3 linked regions of the Diceros bicornis minor genome follow. The protein of the gene in region 3 interacts with the protein of the main gene of each other region in a pairwise test. Links are inferred from orthologs where the notes say so. Each region holds a gene or a part of one and is shown on either strand. Other genes may lie near its edges. The genes, in order: ZXDC, NFYA and POGZ.

Evidence for each region.
Region 1: the proteins of POGZ (region 3) and ZXDC interact in binary tests that used the Homo sapiens proteins (3 or more experiments, as listed by UniProt). The link is inferred for Diceros bicornis minor from reciprocal best matches to the Homo sapiens genes POGZ and ZXDC.
Region 2: the proteins of POGZ (region 3) and NFYA interact in binary tests that used the Homo sapiens proteins (3 or more experiments, as listed by UniProt). The two-hybrid records come from large-scale screens. The link is inferred for Diceros bicornis minor from reciprocal best matches to the Homo sapiens genes POGZ and NFYA.

The regions. Positions count from the first base shown.
Region 1 is NC_080741.1:90,769,945-90,776,954, reverse strand, and holds the start of ZXDC (zinc finger protein ZXDC), read left to right. Parts: upstream 1-3,907; 5' UTR 3,908-3,945; coding exon 3,946-4,867; intron 4,868-7,010. UniProt on the Homo sapiens protein: Cooperates with CIITA to promote transcription of MHC class I and MHC class II genes.
Region 2 is NC_080753.1:24,261,541-24,269,573, forward strand, and holds the start of NFYA (nuclear transcription factor Y subunit alpha), read right to left. Parts: upstream 3,095-8,033; 5' UTR 3,005-3,094; exon of another isoform or gene 2,454-3,004; intron 1-2,453. Other genes in the region: ADP-ribose glycohydrolase OARD1, read left to right, coding at 4,339-4,377, 4,734-4,878, 5,913-5,971, 6,985-7,097. UniProt on the Homo sapiens protein: Component of the sequence-specific heterotrimeric transcription factor (NF-Y) which specifically recognizes a 5'-CCAAT-3' box motif found in the promoters of its target genes.
Region 3 is NC_080743.1:55,723,669-55,731,161, forward strand, and holds the start of POGZ (pogo transposable element with ZNF domain), read right to left. Parts: upstream 3,076-7,493; 5' UTR 2,794-3,075; intron 1-2,793. UniProt on the Homo sapiens protein: Plays a role in mitotic cell cycle progression and is involved in kinetochore assembly and mitotic sister chromatid cohesion.

The sequences.
Region 1 (7,010 bases), on a different chromosome or scaffold from region 3:
AGCCTGTGGGATCTGAAGCTATCTCCAGGCAGACAATGTCAGAATTGAGGTAATTGCTTGGTGATGTTGGGGAAAAGCCACATGGTAGGACTCCCAACCCCAGCCCATGCCCACTCCTGCAAGAGCTTGGGAAGTCCTGCACACTTACGTGGGCAACTCAAAGTCCACTATGATGCCTTTCAGCCCATCAGCAGTGCTGGACATCCACCAACATCGGGCTGGTGGGATTTCTCCCCAAATGCAAACAAGCATGACAAGAGCACGTGTGTTATCTGCTTCTCTTCCCCTGGCTGCCCCAAAACACGTTCTACACACCCCTGCTTGGAGAGTACGGGGTCTGGGTGATTGGGGGTTAACAGGCAGTGCTCTGTGGCCCTCCCAATGTGGGAGGAATCTCTTTAGAATATGGAGTTCCTGTCTCTGCCTGAGACACCACCGGACAATGACAGCAACCCTTCAAGCCCAGCATGCAAGTGAGCACATCTGCCCCTCACTGTAAACCCTGTCATTTGTTGCAGCAACAGAGAACCGAGGGTGGTAGGAAGAGCAAGACAAGTCCTTTCCAAACATTCAATAAGGCCAATTTCACTCATTTAAAATTTTTTAAAAATACATAAGTCACTCTTGAAAAGCTGAAAAACAGAAGAGGAGAAACTCATCCACATTGCCACCAAATGTTTTTCATTAAATTTTTTTTCTTTTTTCTTTTATTGTGGTAAAATACATGACATAAAATTTACCATTTTAACCATTTTTAAGCATGCAGTTCAAAGTGTCATTAAGTAGATTCACGTTACTGTTCAACTATCACCACCATCCATCTCCAGAACTCTTTTCATCTTCCCAAAGTGAAACTCTGTACTAATTAAACACTAACTCCCCGTTGCCCTCCCCCAGCCCGTCAACCCCCATTCTACTTTCTGTCCCTATGAATCTGACTCCTCTAGATACCTCATGTAAGTGAGATCATATAATATTTGTTCTTTTGTGACTGGCTTATTCCACCTGGCATAGTGTCCTCAAGGTTCATCCATGTTGTCACATGTGTTAGAATTTCCTTCCTTTTTAAGGCTGAACAATATTCCACTGTATAGATAGACCACATTTTATTTATCCAGTAATCCTTCAATGGACACTTGGGTTGCTTCCACCTCTTGGCTACCATGAATAACGCTGCTGTGAGCACGGGTGTATGGATATATGCCCAGAAGTGGGATTGCTGGGTCATGTGGTAATTCTATGTTTAGTTTTCTGAGGAACTGCCATTATGCTTCCATAGTGGAAGAAATATTTAATCATAAAAATTACTTTAACAGCACTCATGATCTTTAGATCCCCCCTTACTTCAGAAACAGACACAGGGACTAGCACTATCTTGTGTATCTTTCCAGAAACTTTCTAAGATATGCAAGTATGTGAACATATGTGTAATTTTCCCTCCTATACAATTGGGATCCTCCTAAACAATGTTCTGCATTGATTTTTCCTAACAATATATTTTTAGTGGAGACATATAGAGCATAAAAGTCATCATTTCAGTGGTTTTTAGTCTACTCACTGTTTGTGTACCCATCACTACTGTCTAACTCCAGGACATTTCCATCGTCCCAAAAAGAAACCTCGCAGCTATTAGCAGTCACTCCTAATTCCCGCCCCCTCTCTCTATCACCTGGCAACCATCAATCTCCTTCTGCCTCTAGGGATTTGCCTCTTCTGGACATTTCATGTGGATGGAATCGTACAATATGTGGTCTTTTGTGTCTGGCTTCTTTCCCTTAGCATGTTTTCAAGGTTCATCCATGATATAGCATGTATTGGTACTTATTCCTTTTTGTGGCTGAATAATTTTCCATTGTATGGATATGCCACACTTTGTTTACCCATTCATCTGTTGACGGACGCTTGGTTGTTTCCATTTTTATTATGTAGTATTATGAATAATGCTTCTATGAACATTCATAAGCAAGTTTTTGTGTGGATGTGTTGTCATTTCTCTTGGGTATATGCCTAGGAGTGGAGTTGCTGGGTCATATGGAAATTCTATATTTAATTTTTTGAGGAACTGCCAAGCTTTTTTCCACAGCAGCGTCACCATTTTACTTTCCCACTAGAAATGTATGAGGGTTCCATTTTTTCCACATTCTCACGGACACTTATTCTTTTCCATTTTAGAAAATAGCTATGTTAGTGGGTATGAAGTGTTATCTCATTATGGTTTTGATTTGCATTTCCCTAATGACTAGTGATGTTGAGCATCTTTTTGTGTGCTTACTGACAATTTGTATTTCTTTTTTGGAGAAATGCCCATTGAAATCCTTTGCCTGTTTTTAAATTGGGTTGTCTCTTCGTTGTTGAGTTGTAAGAGTTTTTATGTTTTTAAATATATTCTGGATAGATCATTATCAGATATATGATTTGCAGATTTTTCTCCCATTCTACGGGTCGTCTTTTCACTCTCTTGTTGGTGTTGACCTAAAAGAGTTTTTAATTTTGACAAAGCCCAATTTGTTTCTTTCATTGCTTTTGGTTTCATATCTAAGAAACCATTCCCTAATCCAAGGTCACACAGATTTACACCTGTTTACTCCTAATGATTTTTTAGTTTTTGATCTTACATTTAGGCGTTTGATCCATTTTGAGTTACTTTTCGTGTCTAGTGTGAGGTATGGGTCCAACTTCATTCTTTTGTACGTGGATATCCAGTTGTCCCAGCACTATTTGTTAAAAAGGTTATTCTTTCCTCCATTGAATGGTCTTGGAAAAATATATTTTTGGCATAAATTCATAAAGATGTTTCCCATTTTTTTTTCAATATTATTGATGTACCTTATTTTTAAAGTACTTTTAATAATAAAACATTCATCTATTCAATAAATATTTACTGAGAGTCTTCGACGCTGGTCTCTGGGCATACAGCTGTGAATGAGACCCTGTCCTCGAGGAGGCTATATTCTAGAGGAGCGCACAGTGAATTAGTAGGGAAAGGGACAAATAAAGCAATTGCAACTGGGAGCTATGCGAGGAAACAAGGGGGGAGGAGGCGAGGAGAAGGAGCTGGATGAGGACGTACTTTGGACGAGAAGGCCACCTAAGTCTTCCCAGGGGAATCGGAGACCAGCGGGCAAGGTGCGTGAGGCACAGCCAGTTGGCCCTGTTGGAGAAACTGGGAAACAGATGGGGCAGAGGGGCGAGAAACGCGGGCAAAAAGGCGCGCACTGAGGGAAGACTAGCGAGGCAAGAGCCCCGGGGCGCACGGAGGAGGGGCATAGTTCAGAAGGTCACCAAGTCGGCCTCGGGAGAGAGGACTGGCAGCAGTGAGGCAGGCCGACGACCAGCTGCGAGAACCAGGAGTGACACAGAGGTTTGCGTCCGGTTGCGGGAACAGGAGGAGAAACGCAGGGACAGGCTCAGGGCCCTGCAGGCCAGGTCCGGAGCCGGCGCGGGGCTAGAGCGCAGCAAGCTCGCGGGGGCAGGCGTCCAGCCGGCCGGCAGAAACTAAGTGTCGGAACCCCGGTCCCCTGCTCCCGGCTCTGCGCTCTCCGTGACTCGCTTTCCTCACAGCCGTGAGGGCGAGGACCGCTGGCTGCTACGATTGCTTCCCTACCAAGACAACGGCCAGGACTGACAGGGAACCCGCACAAGCTCTCGAGGGCCCGACCCGCGGAGCGCCGGCGGGGCCGCGCCGGAGCGCCTGACGTCACGAGGCCCAGCAGGCCTCGCGCGACGCACCGCCCCCCGGCTCCCGCGCACGCGCAGCACCTCCCCCCGCCGCCGCCGCCGCCGCCGCCGCCTCCCGCGCACGCGCAGCTCGGGGCCGGACTCCGCGCCGCGCTCCGAGCCGGGCCTTGGCACCGCCCACCGGGGCCACACGGCGTCGCGCACGCCTGGGAGGGGCGGGGCGCGCTTCCTCCGAGGCGGCGGGGCGACGGTGCTGCTGGGCCCAAGATGGAGCTCCCGGCGCTGCTCGCCGCCCCGGCCCCGCGCGGAGCCCAACATGGCGACGGCGGCGGCCCCGGCCAGCAGCGCAGAGGTCCTGCGCCGCCCGGCCCCGGCCCCGCGCGCCGCCGCCTGCTGCTGCTGCGGGGCCCCGAGGACGGCGCGCCGGGGCCGCGGCGCGGGGAGGCCGGGGCGGCGGCGGCGGGCCCCGCGCCCAGCCCGCCCCACGAGGACGGCGGCGACTCCTTCGTGGTGCTGCTGGAGGTGGCGCGCGCCGGCTCGGACGAGGTCCCCGGGCGGCGGGAGCCCGTTCCCGGCGTCGCCGCGAGCCCCGCCCGCCGCCCGCCGCAGGGCCCCACCGGCGCGGCCGCCTCCCCCGGGCCGGGCGGCGACCCCTCGCACGGCCGGGACCTGCTCGTGCGCCTCGACCGCGGCGTCTTCACGCTGGCCGCGCCGCCCGCGCCGCCGCCCCAGGGCCCGCCCGCGCCGCCCAGCGAGGAGGCCGCGAGCCCGGACGCGCGCCGCCGCGGGCCCCCGGGCCCTGGCTACCGCTGCCCCGAGCCGCAGTGCGCGCTCTCCTTCGCCAAGAAGCACCAGCTCAAGGTGCACCTGCTCACGCACGGCGGCAGCCAGGGCCGGCGGCCCTTCAAGTGCCCCCTGGACGGCTGCGGCTGGGCTTTCACCACCTCCTACAAGCTCAAGCGGCACCTGCAGTCGCACGACAAGCTGCGGCCCTTCGGCTGCCCCGTGGGCGGCTGCGGCAAGAAGTTCACCACCGTGTACAACCTCAAGGCGCACATGAAGGGCCACGAGCAGGAGAGCCTGTTCAAGTGCGAGGTGTGCGCCGAGCGCTTCCCCACGCACGCCAAGCTCAGCTCCCACCAGCGCAGCCACTTCGAGCCCGAGCGGCCCTACAAGTGCGACTTTCCCGGTAACCGCGCGCCGCGGGCTGCGGGGGGCCCCGGGGGATCGGGTCCGAGTGGAGTCGCTCGGTTGGGTGCGGCGGCGCCCGCCCCCGGCTGCTCTGCTGGGCAGGATCGGAACTCGGTGGGCCAGGTGTGAGGAGCGGGAACGGAGCACGCTGGTGTTTGTGCTCTTGGTGTTTCCAGCTGATTCGATTTGACACCTTAACCCTGCGGGGGTTTCGACAGCGAGGTAGCACGAATAATCACAGCCGTCCTTCCCCACGGTGAGGACAACAGAGCTCTGAAGGGGCCTCCGGTTAATGAAAGTGATAGCGCATCTTCCCAGTGATTTGAGTTATGAGTCAGGTCTTTCCCTCTGTCTTGTCATTTAAAAATATTCAGTCGTCAGACGCTTACGGGGTGCACACCCCCTCACCCCCGCGAACACGGGAACCCGGGTGAATCTGGCCAGATGCAAGACTGTTAGGCGCTGAGGGCATAATCGCAGGTGCATGGTTCGTCACAGTTTTCTGCTTGTTATACTTTTATTTCCTTTGGACTTCACACTTCTGTGAAGTTCTAAAAATTATCCTGATTTTACAGATGAAGAGACCAATACTGAGCAACGTGGAAAAAATCCAGTGGAGGGTTCTTGCTCCATTGTGATCGCCCCCAGTGTGGGGAATGTGAGGCTCCACACAGAGAGCTCTTCACCAGGATAGGCAGGTGTAGGTGCTCTAAGAGGGAGAGTGTGCCTTCGGAGGAGGAAGAGGAGATTCCTGCCTGGGAAAGAGTTGGTTTGGGGGACTAGGGTGGAAGGCAGTGCTGGTGGGTGAAACCACAGAGCCAAGGCAGGGCATGTGGGCTGTGCTGAGGGCCTGTGGGAAGTGAAGTTGGAAGGGCCAAGTAGAGGGTGAAGGACTTTCCACATCCCGTACATTACAACAGAAACTCAAGTGTGCCCAGCATGCGCCCAACGTGCATATTGATTTGTTACATATATGCAGTTCTGTCCTAATGATGTGTTATGAAATATACTCAAATGTGGGGATTTTGAAAGGGTGAAATGAAAAATATCAACGAGATTTAATATTTTCTTCCTACATGCCCATGCACTGTCTTGTGCGTTCCTCTTTGTGGAGAGCGTGGGTTTAGGCCACTGATTCAAAACCTTTCTTGGTCATATGCTCTGGGAATCTGATGGTGGCTTATAGGCCGCTCCCTAGTAAAATGCACGAAGAGCGTCATTCTGAGTATAATACTGGGAGTCCAGCCTGGTCTAGGGCTTGAGGTCCCCCTGAGGGTTTTGAGTTGGATGGTGAGTGGGGCATCAGCGTTGGAGATGGTAGAAGCAGGAGAGGGACCAGTGAAGCCCACATTAAGTGTTCCAAACCTGAGTTTCCTGAAGGCAGATGTAGGTAGAGGCAGTGGCAATGGTGAGGAGGCAGCATTGAAGGCTGTGATGGTCCATTGTGCGGAGGGTGGTTCTTGCTAAGGCAGAGAGATTTAGCCTGTTCAGATTTACCTGACAGACTGTGTGAATACACCAAAACCCAAAATGGGAGGGGAGGGCGGGCAGATTTATGCAAAAGGGGAGGATTTTAGGGTGTTTAGGAAGGTCAGCATTTCCCAGTTGAGTGTTGCTCGGAAGAGCAGGGCTGCTTGGGCTAGTACTTTTATGCGGTGCTGTGCAGAGTGTGGTTACAGATGCGATGGTAGCATGTTAAAGGCTCTGAGAAGAGCTGTGACAAAGACATCTGATAAACATCTTGTAACGTGACGTTTTCCACCCGATTTGAGCACTGAACCTTTGGGTCAAAGGAGAACTACTGATGTGGGAAGTCTGGAAATTGCTGAGGTAGGCCCCTTTCTGGTGGCTCAGCTGGGGGTTGAAGGTGCAGGTGATGGGAAAGGCCATGTGAGGAAAGATGACCTCGGAAACCTCCTTTGACAGGGCAGGGAACCCTGAGGAAAGGGGCAAGAAGAGAGAGAAGCCCGATGACAGAGGTGGGGCCGCCAGTTGCGGAAGGTGTCAGGGAGGACATTTGTAAGTGTGGGGGATGCAGCATCGCCCCCAGGGGTGGGTGAAAAAGTCTCAGCCTCGCAGTGGTTTGTGGCCCTTCCACACTGAACCCGACCAGACAAAATCTTGTTCCTTAGGATCTGATT
Region 2 (8,033 bases), on a different chromosome or scaffold from region 3:
GGATTTGACAATCACTACCAAGTAAAGACTAGAACAGTAGCTTTCAAACTTTTTTGACCATGATTCACAGTAAGAAACACATTTCGTATCACAAATCACTGCACACACAACATATAAAAAAAGTAACTGAAACAAACGTTTCACGAATACTTATCTTTATGTAACATAAGATGCACTTTGATATTTTCTATTTTATTACAAAAAAATATCAGCATTGGCCCACTAAATTGATTTCACAATGCAACCAATGGGTCCTGATCTGTTTGATAAAAGATTAGAGAACACAGCGTGTCCAGCTTCTGCACTGTCTGAGGTTTCTGGATTGGAGTTCCTAATTTGCTCCTCCTCTCCACTAATGATGTGCCAGACACTGTCCTGAAGGTTTCAGAAATAAAAAGAAAACTCTGACAAAGATTCTAACTTCAAAGAGTCTTTAAGTTTAGTGAAGGGGTAAAAATGTACTAGAACCCTAAAAGAGGAAGAAGGTAATACGGGATTTTGGAGAACAGAGATTTCTCTGTGAGGACAGAGATTTCTTCCTGCTGGGAATAGAAAAATCAAGAAAAGCTTTAGGAAAACGTGACATCTGACCTGGTCTTAAGTGTGAGGAGGATTTATACTATATGATGATGTGGGAGGGGGCAGAGTACTCCAAACGAAGAGAGAGCATAAAAACAAGGACAGAAAAATTTCAGCATAGAACAGTAGACTAAAAGGCCCCATGTCAAGAGAAGGCTGGCGGCTAGACCACTGTTCTCAAAATTCCAGGCAAAGAAGTTCTTCTTGCAGACAGGTGGAGGCCCTAGAGGTGTTCAGCAAAAAAGTGACCAGACTATAACTGCCTTCTAGAAAGAAGTCTAGTGAAAGTGTTGGATGGTTGTCAAGTGACCAGATATACCTGTTTTTGAATACCAACGTTAAAATATCTATTCCAAAGGCAAATCTAAGTGTTCTAAAAATTATCTAAGACATGCTTCTCCTTTAATATGGATAATGTAGCGAGAATTAAATGAATTTAAGAAAACGATTTAAACAATGAAAAACATTCTAAAAAGTGAAAACAAAAACTGTTTCCAAAGTTTGACAAGTAGAGAGAGCACTGGACTAGTTGTTTTCTGAAACCTACCAGTTGTATGATCTTAGTAAACGTGATTATAAAAATGGGCACCATATACTGAAGACCTACTCTGTGTGCCAGCGACTGCACTAGGTGCTTCAAAGGAGTCAAAACTTTTCAAGGCCTAGGAGAAAAATCTCCCTCTCTTCCCCCAAAGAAGTCAGCTGCTGTTACCGGGCAGAACCCCACAAATCAGAAACTTGTTTTTCCAATCTTAGAAAAAAACATACTTCTAGATTTCTTCTATCTGAACCTCCACAAAATAACTGCTTCCGCAAAATTCCTCATCAAGATATACAAATGCTCGTACTAACTCGGCTTTCCAGTCTCAACTCGCACCAGCATTGCCCACTGCCCTATCCTATCTTCGCCTCAAACGCACGGCACAATTTGCTCTTTTCTTTGTGAGCAACGCTCTTCCATTCTTTCCTGTCCGAAAAAATACTATCGTCCTTCATGGCCAATCGAAAGTGTGGCGATGTTGAGCCTTCCACGGAGGCTGTTGGTAGCTCACACATCAGTCCTTCACTGAACTCAACTTGGCCCCGTTACAGCACCAGCCGTTAGGTACTAATCAGCTGTTCACCTGTCAATCTCCACCAGGCGGAAAAGGTTCTTATTTCCCTCTACCTACTTGCTCCCCAGGACACAGATCTATGCCCGCTGGATACTAACTGCTGGAGACGTGGTTGTCAATGGAGAGTCCCTTCCACCCTAACGAAAACCCCACAACACTAAGTTTCTATAAACATCTGCTAAGAAAACGTTAACACGGGATTAGAAAGTATATTAGAAAAAAAGTAAACCAAGACATGGCTATGAACTGAGCTAAGAGACAAGCCTTACACATTCAAAGCGACACAAAGGTGAAAGAAAAAAACTGTACATTCCCAAGGACGGGAGAGTTCACAAGACGAGCAGTGGGTAACACTAGTATGAAAAGCAGGTTGTGCAGCCTTCGGGAAAAGGAATGAGCAGGGCTAACAGTCTTCTACGATGAGGTTCCAAGCACCGAATGGACTGGCCTTACAGCCCAGCCGAGAAACGGAGACCGCTTGGTTGGACTCCAAGCCGGAGGTGTGCGGTGCTGCCCCGGGAGCGGGGCGGGGAGGAGAGGAAATGACGAGCCAAAAGGGGGTGGTAACGGCGCGGGGCCGAAGACCCGGGCCGAGCGTGCGGGAGGGGCGGCGGGGCAGGGGAGTGGGCGCACTAACGGACCCCTCCCCGGCCGGGGAGACGGCGGGGAGGGCCCGCGGGGCGCCGGGGGGGGCCCGCCCCCTCTCCCGCCGCACCCGGGGCCCTGTGGCCGCCGCGTGCGTCCTACCCAGGGCCCCCTCCCGACCCCAGAGGGCTGCAAACGGCAGACGCGGCTCACGGAGGGCTGGGGACGCGGGCCCCGCGGGGAGGACTGCCCGGCCCGAGGACCGGAGCGTGGAAGATGCAAGGGCAGGCTTAAGTGTGAGGCCCGACCGACCGGCAGGAAACGGCCGAGGCCCCGGGCACGTGTGTGCGCCGGAGCGGAGGAGCATCCGTGGCAGGCAAGCCCACCACTCCGAGCCTGGGGTCTGAGACCCTGGGCCTAAGTCTCGGGGGACGAGGACGCATCCCCAACCGGCACCAGCACCCCGCCGGGGTCTGGACCCCGAGGTGCCGGCTCCCGAGGGCGCCATGCCCGCACGGGGCGGCCCCCTGCAGGCCTCGGCCGGGAGTGCCCCGGGGCGCTCGCAGGCTCCGGGGCCGCACCGCCAGCCGCCCGGCTCGGCGAGGCTCAGCTCGACTCCCCGGGCTCGACGGGAGCCTGGGCCTCTCCTGAGTGGTCAGCGAGACCCGCCAATCGGGGCGCTGGGGCCGGCTCTGGGCCGCTGGATATTGGCTCCTCACGCTCACCGTGCTTCGCTCCCCCGGTTCGCTGCCCGCGCTGATTGGCTCCAGTACCGGACCCCGAAACCCAATCAGAGGCTCCAGCCGCCGCTGCCGCCGCCACTGCCGCTGCCTCGCAAAATGGCGAACCCGAACAAAGGGGAATCGGGCCTCCCTCCAACCGCCTCCGCGCAGGCGCCTCTGAGACCACGCCCACTAGCCTCTGCTCGGGGCTCGCCCCACCCCCACCTGAAGGAGCATTGCGCAGGCGTCCCCTGCGGCCACGCCCACTTCCCCGATTTGACACCACCCCCCCGCCGAAGGATTACGCAGGCGCCTTCTGGAAGCGCCAGACCCTTCGACTCAAACACCGCCCTGAACATAGTACTACGCAGGCGCTAACTAGCTCCTGTGCCAACTGCCCTCCCCCTTCTATGCGGCCACTGGAGACACACCCCTGGGGCTAATGCGCAAGCGCCGTTCTGCCCCGTTCGCGGTGGGCTGTGTCGTTACGCATGCCCGGGCGGCGGCGGGAGACTCCGCGGAATTTACCGCCGGAAGTTCGGCGGCCACGACCAAAGAGTGGAGGTTCGGCTAGTTAGCTAGAGGGGCTCGTTTCCGCCCCGCTCCCGGGGTTGGGCGGCCATCTTAGGCGCGCGCAATTAAAGGCTGTGGCGGGATTGGTCCCGCGTCTGGGCTCGTCCCCCGCTCCCCACCTACCAGGGCCGGATCCGGAGCCCTTCCCCGCGGGGCGGGACTCCTAACGGCCGCCTCCTTTTCAGGTGAAGGGTAATCGCGGGACGTTGGGACTCTGGGCGAGCCTCCTCGCTCCCTCCCGCGGGACTCCAGGACAGGCCCCACGCCCTCGCTGACCCGCCTTGGGGTAGGAAAAGGGGAGGTTCTCTAGACTCCTTCCCCCCAAAAAAAGAGGAGGTGAGCCTTCCCCGTCCCCTGCTTGCGGCTCGGCGGGACACTCCCCCCGGCCGGTGCACTCCCTCGTTGCGGCTTAAGGGGACTGTGGCCAGGTCATTCCTTTTTGCTTCTAGGCCAGATCCACTGGGGAAATGCTTGTGCGCGGTGCAGGAAAAAGGAGATTGTCCTAAACCCGCCTGGCTCGGGCGGGAGAAGGGAGGAGGCGTGGCTCGGGAGGCAGGCTGCTGCTGCTTGCACCAGAGAGTTTTGTGTTACTTTCTAGAGGCCGAACGCACTCAAATTCAGCGATAAACGTTGGGGGGGAAAATTATTAAGTGCGTGGTCGGGGCAATCTGAATGTATAATATGTTCAGGCTGCCTAAGCATCCTAGCTTCCTTTTCCTTCTCATAGCTGAAGAAACACATTCTGGAAATAGCCACTCAGTATCATGGCCGGCAGCCCTAATGAAGATCCTGAAGGAAGCAGAGTGCGTAACAACTATTAACTTATTGCTGAACTGAAGTTCAGAAAGATTGAGGTCAAATGCATAAACACTTTTTAATTAAAGCAATAATTGAATTGCCTTTTTTTTTTCTCTTTCCAGCTGATTTACTTCTGAAAGGCTAATACAGTGCTAGGCAGAGACCATCCAGCTCTTGCCTTTTACACGTGCTTTAATTCGTGGTCGTTAACTCCTTAAATTAAATTCTGAGGATTTGGCTTTAAATCAAGGAGGGGCAGGGGAGGAGAGGGAGTGGGGGACACAGTAAAGGAAAATGAGAGAAATAGCTTAATATTTTTTTGAATCTAATAAAACATTTTCTTTCCTTTTGCACGTTTTAGATCACTTATGTGAAAGGAGACCTCTTTGCATGCCCCAAAACAGACTCTTTAGCGCACTGTATCAGTGAGGATTGTCGAATGGGTGCTGGGATAGCTGTCCTCTTCAAGAAGAAATTTGGAGGAGTGCAGGAACTGATAAATCAACGTGAGTTTTGAAAACAGCTTAAGTCTGCTGCCCTAGCTAGAGCATCTCTTGACCTCCTGTTATACTTTAATTATTAAACAAAATATACATGCAAAGAGGGAGTTCCTAATCGCTGAGTACTTTTAACTCTTCAGATTGTTTCCTCTACAGAAATGGCCTCTAGTCTGAGTCCTTATCACATCAAATCTGAATTGTAAAAGTTTCTAATCTCTTCCTCCTCTGTCATAAAACTTTCTTGATAATATTACTCCACTTCTCTGAAACCTTTAATAACTCTGAAGTGCTTAGCAAAGTCCACAGGTGTTAGCTTGGCATTCAAGATTCTCTCTTCATCCACATTGTACTTATTCTTCCAAGAGGAGTTTAGAAACCTCCTCTTCCTATACACACCCTCCCATCACTTTTCTACCAATGGTTTTAAACCGGAGATGTGTATTCACATCACTTGTGGAGCTTCTGAAACAGTTGCTCAGACCACAGTCCAGGCTTACGGAGTCAGTTTCCACTGATGATTCTGACCCCAGCCTTTAAAAGAGCAATTTCTTACTGCTTTGTATTGTAGTTATTTGTAAACATGACACCTACTCTTGATTGAAAACTGTTTAATTAGGAACTCTTTTATACCTCTGTTTCCCCATAATGCTTAACGTGTTAGCTTTTTGTATGTAAAAAAGATGATTATTGAATGAATACACATTTGGCAAGTAAAAAATGCTGTACATTCTAAAACATTTCAAAGCAGTAGACATAAAAGTTTCTTTAGTGAAGAAATAAGGATGTATTTGAAAATAGGGGCAGGAGAAAAGATGGGGTGAGAGGAAAACGATTAAGAAAGCTGGAAGTTAACGAATATAGTATTTAGGAAGGCGATAAGGAGCAAAATGTTCGTAGGAGACAGCAGGTTTCTTCAGAGTTGAAAATTATTTCTCCTGAGGTAAACTCAGATTTGTAAAGATTTTTTAAAAATCTAAGAGTGGAGATCAGTGTTTTGGTTTTCTTTTTTCTTTCTGCTATTAAATACCTGTTTTTCTTAGAAAAGAAATCTGGAGAAGTGGCTGTGCTGAAGAGAGATGGGCGATATATATATTACTTGGTAAGACGGGGCTGATTCTCAGTACGCTCTAAGGATTGGTGAACAAATGGGCTGTACTGCAATTGTGTTGATCGTGATGTTCCAGTCTAGACGAGCCAAGGATGTCAAAAGCTTCTGATCTCGATCCAGTGGTGGTGGCTGTTTGGAGCACTGGATTAGAAAGAACATGAGGCTGCATCCCAGCTCCATGGAAAGAGTACCGTGACATCCGCCAAAGGCCTGGGTTCTAAGACTTGCAGAAGTTAGGGATGCCTTCCGTACTTAATTCCTTCCTAATCATGGTGAGAGAGAAACAGTAGTGTCTCAAGAGACAGATTGTCCAAGGAGGTTTCTCTCTCATTCTTCCCTATCAAATCCAGGTAATACTCAGCTCCTTTCCCACCTGCTGCCTCAATGGGATTTTTCCACTGTCCAAGTGGTCTTCAGCCCCAGAAAGAGTGTGGTTTCTTGGTGATGGTGCTGGGTGACATACAGCCAGTTCACTATAAGCCTGATTTGGATAGCAGGCTGAGTGGGGACATGTCCTAGCCCCTTTGAATGCTGTCTTTAAGGCCGATGGGACTTCTGGTTTGGAATGCTACCAGTTTCTCTGTTCTCTTATAGAGAAACAAAAAGCAAGCAAGCACAGTTTCTAAATAAATAGACTTAACAGGAAATTTTCAGGTGGTATGGGTTCTTACAGATATGCAGCTTCTCTCTTGGAAGTGGCACAAAGGCTTGCACCTACCTTGCTTAAAAACACTAGACAATAGGCATAGCCTGCTAATCTCCTGGGCTTATTGGGAGAAGGAAAGAGTATTACATGGCAGTGTCTGGGTTTCTCAGGCCCTATTTAGTGGATTTTCCTGAGGGCCTCACATAACTGGAAGGGACAGTCTATGACATTTGTCATCCTTGCTCTAGACTATTCTATAAAAATATACTTAATTATCAGGATGTTGGGAGAATGTGATGGTTTTTCTTTGGCTATCATTTTGGATTAACAGAAGTTTGAATTTGTTCTTTGTACTCAGATTACAAAGAAAAGGGCTTCACACAAACCAACTTATGAAAACTTACGGAAGAGTTTAGAGGCCATGAAGTCCCATTGTCTGAAGAATGGAGTCACTGACCTCTCCATGCCCAGGCAAGGAAATCCAGGGCCCTAAATGAAGACTTAATTCAGGTGGTGGGGTTTACTGTCTTACCCGGAGACAAATGACTTAAAAGCTTAACTTAAGCCAAAATATAGACTTAAAGGTGGACAAATTTCAAAACTTTTTAAAATCACTAGTGAACCAGTTGTCAGGCCTTAAGTTAAGGCATACCTATTTCTTAGCCTGGGTTGAATGAATCAGGATGATTAAAACACACACCTGCCTCAGCCTACTTAGTAGGGAGGAACCATTGTTAGTCACCTTGGTTGAATTATGGGCATCCTCTATCTGAAGCTTAGCTGCTCTCTCTAAAGCAATATAAGCTAAAGAGCCAAGACTGAGCAATTGTGATTTCTCTGGGCCACTTCAGATGTCCCAAACCTGTTAATCCTATGTGAAGAAAGTTGTAAATTCTCACTGCCTTTTAAATTGCATGCTTGTTTGTGGTCAGCGTGGGTTGTAGCCAGAGAATATGTTCCTGATGTAACATTTTAGATCCCAGCTATTGAGAACTTAAGGGAATGACACTGAGGGTTCAGTATCCCCTTTGCTTCCTTTTCAGGAAATAGGCTTGGAGTCACCATTTCTTGTCTTCTCACTCTGGTTTTGAGTCAGTGCTGACCATGCAGGTTTATTCTAAGCCCAAGTTACTTTATGAATGTGGCTCAGGGTCCCTCATCTTACACTGATCTTAATATGTTCATGGCTTATGTATCAGGAACTTTTTTTTTAATCACAACTTTTGGGGGGACTTAATTATCCCATTATATGAAATTAGCAATTTTAAGCCTTTTGTTTTTCCCTGGGGATGTTGAGGGTCAATAATAACCTGTTGGAAGGAAGGTGCCAGGTAGTAGTGTTGTGGGCTGGTTGAAGTTTCCCACCAGCATGTTGAGAAGACCTGAATTGCAGTCAGCTTGGCATTT
Region 3 (7,493 bases):
TACTGTTTTACATTTTCTCAAATCTTTTATGTCTAGCTTAATGAAGGCAGTCACATTCTCATAGCTGTTTCTGCATTCAGTCTGTTGCTATATGTTGTTTTGGTTAAGTTTATAACAAAGATCTTGCCTCACACAGTAGGAAAAGGGAGAAATATTCTATAAACCTTTTCAGATAACTGTTTATATTGACAAAATACTAAAACTCAACAAATGGCAGTTTCTTAAAGGATAATTGCATCTTGGGATCTGAAACCATATCAATGAACTTTTCGTACTTCGTGACATTAAAATCTACTGGTGTATCTTACATTTTGAAAGGTTCTTTTCACCCACGGTGATTTTAAAACGTCATGCATTGGTCATTGGGAAAATAGAGATTTAGTGAGTTATGCCAATCTTCCAAATGTTGATACATTTCATTATACAATATTTTTAAAAAATCACAGTCATTAATTAACACCGATATTATAAGAAAAATCTTTCAAATGCTATAAAGCTGTCAAACTTGAGATGTCAACTTTTTAAAAATTCTCATTTTCACTCTCAAATTTTTATCATTGGTAACAAATACCGTCAAGTGTTTTCCTCAAAGTGATAAGCTCACTTTATTTATTTTCAAGAAAACACGCGCCAAACACTCAAGTGTGAAAAACTGTCGTTTGTCATTCTTTCAAGTAAAAACGCTGTTCCACGAAATGAGCAGCTTTCAACTCAATCTCCTAAGTGCTTTTCCTTATGACAAGGCTCATATCTGAGTAGGCAGCATTAGGCGCTTTATGCCTACTTCCCATTTGGTCACAGATTCTTAAAAATTAGAGACACGTACTCAAGGGCTGAGATTTAATAAAATCAATCATTTTTTACTGCTTTATCAACAACATTCTCAAGTAACTAATAACAGAGTTTCATGCAACTGCCTTGCTTTGTGCTAAAGCGCCACCAGTAGTTTCACCCAGCACTGCTTTAGGACTATCAGTGCAAACAACAGTGATAAAAATAAATAGCATCTTATATGACCTCGTGGCTCCTCTGAAAAGGTCTAAGGGGATCTCCAGGGGTCAGTGGACCACACTTTGAGAACTGCTTTCCTAGATTATACCATTGGTTCAAAGTGAGTGTAGAAACTCTAATAAAATCCTGTGCATCTCGACTCTTCATTTTGTCAGTTCCTTTACTTTAAGATATACCAACATCACAGCTGGTATAACCGTAATACAGAAAAAGGGAAGGAAATAGAGGGCACAGATTGAATTTCATTGTTTTAAGATTATGTTTTGAGCACTTCTATGCTAAACTAATAATTCTCAACGAAGGACTGCAGGTTAAATGTAGAGAAGATGACACCCCCCTCCCCATCTCACCCAAAGAGACTTGGGGATGAGGCCCTCACAACCGCACTTCCAGCAATCTACAAGGTATTTTTTATGCACCCCTAAGTTAAGAACGATTGTGAACACCTCGAATTCAGAGTCCAACTACCAGTCCCAAGAGCAACGGATTCCAAATTCAGTGTCATTCGCCAAGAAGCAACCCTCCCCGCCCCCGTCCTTTCCCTTTCATCTACATGGGAAAATTCCTTAGAAAGTAAAACTCCGTTTCTGTGGGGTTTTGAGCTGCGGTGGGAGGTGTCTTTTTAAAAGAATGTAAAGGGCTGGGCTCCAGTCTGCAACACGAAGACAGCTATTCTGAGATAGTACAACTTATCTCGATTTCCATCTGGAAAACGAGACTGGGCTAAACAACTTAGAAGACTCTTTTCAGCTCTACCCTTTTCTGAGCTAAGAATGTCCAATATAAGAGAGCTGAGAAACGTCCAGCGTTATCAACAGTTTGAGAGAATCCCGCCTCTAACGGGAGAGGAAATCAGGACAACTCGCAGAAAAGAGGGACCGCAGGTGGATCAGCGACGTCACTCCTTTTCAGTAGGTGCTAAGATTCCAGAAAATAGTCCCTGGGATAAACATGGCGCCCACCGCGGCAGGATATAACCATCAGAAAATAAAAATTCTCTACCCCATCCCATTTTATAAATCACGGCGCCATCCCAAAGAAATTTTAGGGCCGAGGGAGGAGACTTTGTAAACTAACTGCAGTGCACTAAAGCTTGGGATGTGCGATTGGTCCGAGCGGGGATTACATAACGCAGGGGAGCGGCTCACCAATCACTCATTTTGCTGCTCACGCTCAAAAAGAGCGCCCCACTCCTTCCCCGGCGGGGGTGAGGCGGCAGGGCCGCGCACTACACCTCCGTCGGGGGACGTGACCCCGCCCCCCTCCCCGCGCGCGGCCTCGCCCCCTCGCCCGCCCCTCCTGCCGCGCCCGCTGCCTCGCCGCCGCCCGCGCCCCCGCCCCTTCCCCAGCGGGCCGCCGCCGCCCGCGCCCGCGCCCGCCCACTCCTCCGAGACGCCTCGCGCCGGGCGTGCGTGTGGACGTCGTGTGTGTGGGGCCGTGGGGCCCGAGTGCGCGCGCGCGCGCGCCGCGGCGGGCGCCGGGGGGCGGGGGTGGCCGGCAGGGGCCTCCCCGGCCGGCCCGCCGCGCACCTCCCGCAGCTCCCGGGGCGCACACGCACACACACACGCGCTCCCGCGCCGCACCCCACGCCCGCCGCCGCCGCGGGCCGCGCCGCCACTCGCGGGGGGCGGAGGGGCGCGCCACCGGGCCCCCGCCCCCACCCCTCGTACCCGCCCCATCCCCCTCTCATTGTCTCGCCTCGGAACGCCTCGCCGAGCGAAAAGATAACGGAACCCCCGGGAACAGGGGGTGGGGAGAGAGAAGGCTCGCTCGCTCACTCACCTCCCGTGGTCGTCGCCGCCGGTAGTCTGACCCGAGGAAGGCGCCGTCGCCTTAAAGGGACCTTGCACCCGGCGCCGGGAGAAGGGGGTGGGAGCAGGGGAGGGGACGGGGGCTTGGGGGTAGACGGAGAAGAGGGAACCGTTGAAAGCTCGTCTCCCGGAGGGTGAAAGGAAACCTCCCTCAGGTTCGAGTGACTTGGGGTGGATTTTTTTCCCGAGGGGGGCGGGGGGGGGGCCCCGAGGGAGGGGGGTGGGGGGGCCAAGGAATGCGGCTCCGTGTACGGGAGCTGGCGCGGGGGAGAGAGACGCCGACTCCCCCCACCGACCCTCTCGCCCCGCGGAGGGATACGGCTCGTCACTTCCGCCCTCCCCCTTTCGTGGCCTTTCAATTGGTTGAAGCGCATGACACGTCATGGGCTCATCCTAACCCCTGCCCGGGCTTCTTTTCTAGTCAAGTTTGTCTGGGGCTGCGAATAAATAAATAAATAAAAACATTTTTTTAAATGAAATAAAGAATAATTAGCTTCAGAAACAATATCTAGGTTTGGGTGAGAAAAATGGAATTTCTAAAGAAAATATTCCCCAATTCACTTGCCTGGACTTTCCAGGAAATTTTGGGAATCTCCCCACTTTCCACTCAAAGCAAGAGGGGAACTTCATGCCACAGGCCAGATGGTGAGGCCCAATGGCACCAAGAACTGTCATTGGAACAAAGGCAGCAAAATGGCACTCACTTTTCCTCAAGAGACATTCAACCAAGTAGTCTTATGGCAGTAGCCTTAAGTGAAGAAATTTTAAAAACCATTTTTACCCTGAACCTTTCTGGATTCTGGAAAGAAGTCACACATGATTGCTTATCAAGGTGATTCATGTATGTAAACTGCTTTGAAACCATGGTAAATAGACTCAGCCAAGATGCTCAGTTCTAAGAAACTGTAGACTCCACATCTGTGCTTTTTGCTCCAATCAAGGCTGAGACGGATTGGTCCAAAGAAATTGATTAGTCTAGTCAAGACCATCCACCTGTTGTTTTTCTCCAAACAAAAACTAACCTCGTTTCCGGATAGCTAAGAGATTTTGTCATTTATTACCTCCCCAGATGATGGTAAAATTTTAATATTTTCCTTGGTTATTTGAGGATGTTGTTGCTCTTTAAGCAATACACAAATATTTGCTCCAAACCAAGTGCTAAATGTTGGTGCAACATTGGGGAGATCCAGAACCATATTTATTCCTTCTCTTTACATACACACTCTATTCAAACATCAGACTACAAAAATAGGCAGTGGAAGTAGGCATTCCAAATTATGCACCATGCACATGGCTGCACGTGCCACCACCCATTTTCTTTCCACTTCATACCAAAAACATGTGAGTGATTTCAACTAGTCATTCTTAGAAAGAACTTCATTATTTGAATTGAAAGAATCACTAAACCTCTGAAGCCTTTCCAGACCTGGTCTGGAAAAGCCCATAGTGGGATTATGGAATCAATCACCAAAAGACAAATTCTATATGAAGTTGTAATCCTATTTTATGCTTTCCTACAATAATTATTATAATTCATTACAACATAATTTGCCTCTGAAATATTCTTGTTGAAACATATTTTGCCATGCCCTAAGTGCCAGCTCGTGCTATCTGCCAATGACATCTAGGCCAGCAGACTGTACCATGTACTGTTGGCCAATAACCATTAGCATACCATATTGAAAATGCATCATTCATTCAACAAATATTTACTGAGTACTTGCTATATGCCAGGCACTGTTCTCAGTGCTGGGAATACAGCAACAAAGAAAACAAACAAAATCCCTGAACTCATGAAGCTTATACTGTAGTGGGGAGAGACATACAATATACACATAAACAAATTATTCCAATATCTACAGTTGAATAACAAATGGTCCCAAAACCTAGTGGCTTAGAACAACAACAATTTTATTATTATCTCTCATGGTTCTGGGAGATGATTAGGCTAAGCTAAGCGGTTCTCACTTGGAGTCTCACGCAGTGGCTGGGGCTGAAGTCAACTCAAAAGCTTCCTCAAAAGTCTGGAAGTTGATGATGACTGTTGGCTTGGACTGCAGCTGGTGCTGTTGGCCAGAACAGCTGGCTGTTGGCCTCTCCATGTGCCTGGGCTTCCTCATATCATAGTGGTTGAGTTCCAAGATTGAGTGCCCCACGAGGACCAGGCAGTGGTTGTATGGCTTTTTGTGACCTAGCCTCAGAGGTCACATAGCATCACTTCCACTATCGTTACAGGCTCACCTCGACTCAAGGCGAGTGGGGAACATCTCTCAAAGGGAGTAGTAGAAACATCACATTGTAAGAAAAGTATTTGGAATGGGAATGTTATATATTAATAAATATATAATATGTGATATGGTGATAGGTGCTATGGATGGGGAAAAGGGCAAGATGGGGGAATTGGGAGTGTGGTGTGGGGGTGGGGAGGTGTTATTTTTTGTGGGGTGATTGGAGATGCTTTGTCATTAAGGTGACATTTGAGCACAGACCTGAAGAAAGTGAAGCCAAGTTCAGGTTTTACTCTTAGTGCAAGTGAAGTCGTTGGAAGATTTTAAGCCAAGGAGTGATATGACTTGGCTAACATGTTTAAGGAACACTCTGGCTGCTTATAGAGAATTCCTTGTAGAGACGAGAGTGAAAGCAGGGAGACGAGTTAGGAGGCTCTTGCAATAATCCAGATGAGAGGTGATGGTGGCCTGGACCAGGGTGGGAGCTGTGGAGCTGCTACTTCAGCTGAGTGAGTTCCGTGGTGTGTTGTTTACTTCTCTGTGACTTATTTTTCTATTATTTAGTTTTGGCCATGGGAGACAGTTTTGACCCATAATGGCTAGCAAAATGTGTATGAGGGATAGTGCTGTGCCTACCACAGAGAAATAAAGTTAGAATATTGTGCTGAATGTTAACATAGGAGTTTTGTGGGGGCTGGAGGCACCCTTGAGTAAAGAATTCAGAAAACAAGAGTAAGGATCAACAATCAGGGAATGGAGTAAGCTCTTTGACATTATAAAAGGTATCCAAACTGCCACCGTCTGGGAGGATCAATCAACAGTTGAATGACTGATAGCTGGAAGAAATCAAGGGTAGAGACATTTTATAACTTCAGAGGATTTGAAGAAAATTCTACCACCTTGCAACACTGGAGCAGCATCTCAAAAAAGACTATAGTGTTAGCGCTCCCATTTCCAGGAACGTATTCCCCGTGCTAAAGAGGGAACGTCCATATTAATCTGAGCAGTGTTGGAACATTTTGCTATCGTCAGCTAACACACAAGTTTCTGGAGTGAAGCAGTAGAACTGATAGCTGTGGTTTCTCTTATACTTGAACCATCTTGATAATGATGGGAAACAAAGCAGCAGAACAAATAACCTGGGTCGAATCCTTAGAAATCAGTTCACATGTGCCTCTGTGACATATTGGGGCGAGGTCTGAAAGCCAATCTAGTTGGGTATATTGAAGAAATTGAACCCTAATACTGCTGCTAAAAAGCTACGCCAGTCTTCAGTAGCCAACTTAGAAAAAAGGAATCCTCTCCGTATGGGTTTCTAGGAAGGAAGGTCAAAAGTTAATGGAAGTCCCAAGTTATGCATTTCACAGTTAGGTAGCAGAAGAGTATTTCTTTTCTACAGTCTATGGGAACACTTATTTGCTTCCTTGGCTTATGGTTTCTGCCATGAGTTGAAAATTGGAACCACCTGTAGCTTGGACAGTGTCAAGGCAGAGAGACAAATGATTTCAGCATGTCTTCAAAAGCAGTGAGCCATGGGTGCCTCTCTGCTGTCATTTTGCTACTATACAGACCCAATCACTGACTGCTCAGGTTCAGTGTGAGGCTAACCAGTACGTGTTGAGGTGGGGAGTAGAGAGGATTGTGAGGTCAGTCCAGGCAGAAAGCAGCTTTGTGGGGGACAATGCCAGATTTCTTTAAAAACAAGCATCCTGCTCTACAACACACACTCAGGGTGGTTCAAACCAGGAGCTCAAAGGGAGCTACTCATTTTGGAAGATTTTTTTTTTGTGTGTGAGGAAGATGGGCCCTGCGCTAACATCTGCCAATCCTCCTCTTTTTTTTTTTTTTTTTCGCTGAGGAAGACTGACCCTGGGCTAACATCCATGCCTATCTTCCTCTACTTTATATGGGACGCCGCCACAGCATGGCCTGACAAGCGGTGCGTCGGTGCACGCCCGAGATCCAAACCGGCAAACCCCGGGTCTCCGCAGCGGAACGTGCGCACTTAACCGCTTGTGCCACCGGCTGGGCCCTCATTTTGGAAGATGTAAGAGACAGAAAAACAGTGGAGAAATTTTCACCATCTGAGCATCTCCCAGCTCAGAAAGATTGACAGCTGATCGCACTGAGCCTGGGAGTCAAGAGAAGTCAACGTGTATGAGGACACTGAAATGCTTCACTTGACGGGGAAATAGAAAGCAAACGCTGGTCTATGTGTGGCCAGTGTCAAATACAAAATGGGGACTCGGAGGCTGCTGCTGGGCTTCATTTAGGAATTTTATTTGCCACCTCCTTATGTTTAGAGGAGCTGAGGACTTTCCTGGGGGCTCAGAAAATTCTCAGGAGATGAGAAATAGCCAGAGGAAGTTTTAAAACTGGGTTTCTAAAAGAAGAGTTCCTCATTAGCTTTCATTAAGAAGCAATTGAAAGTCTCTGTCTTCAA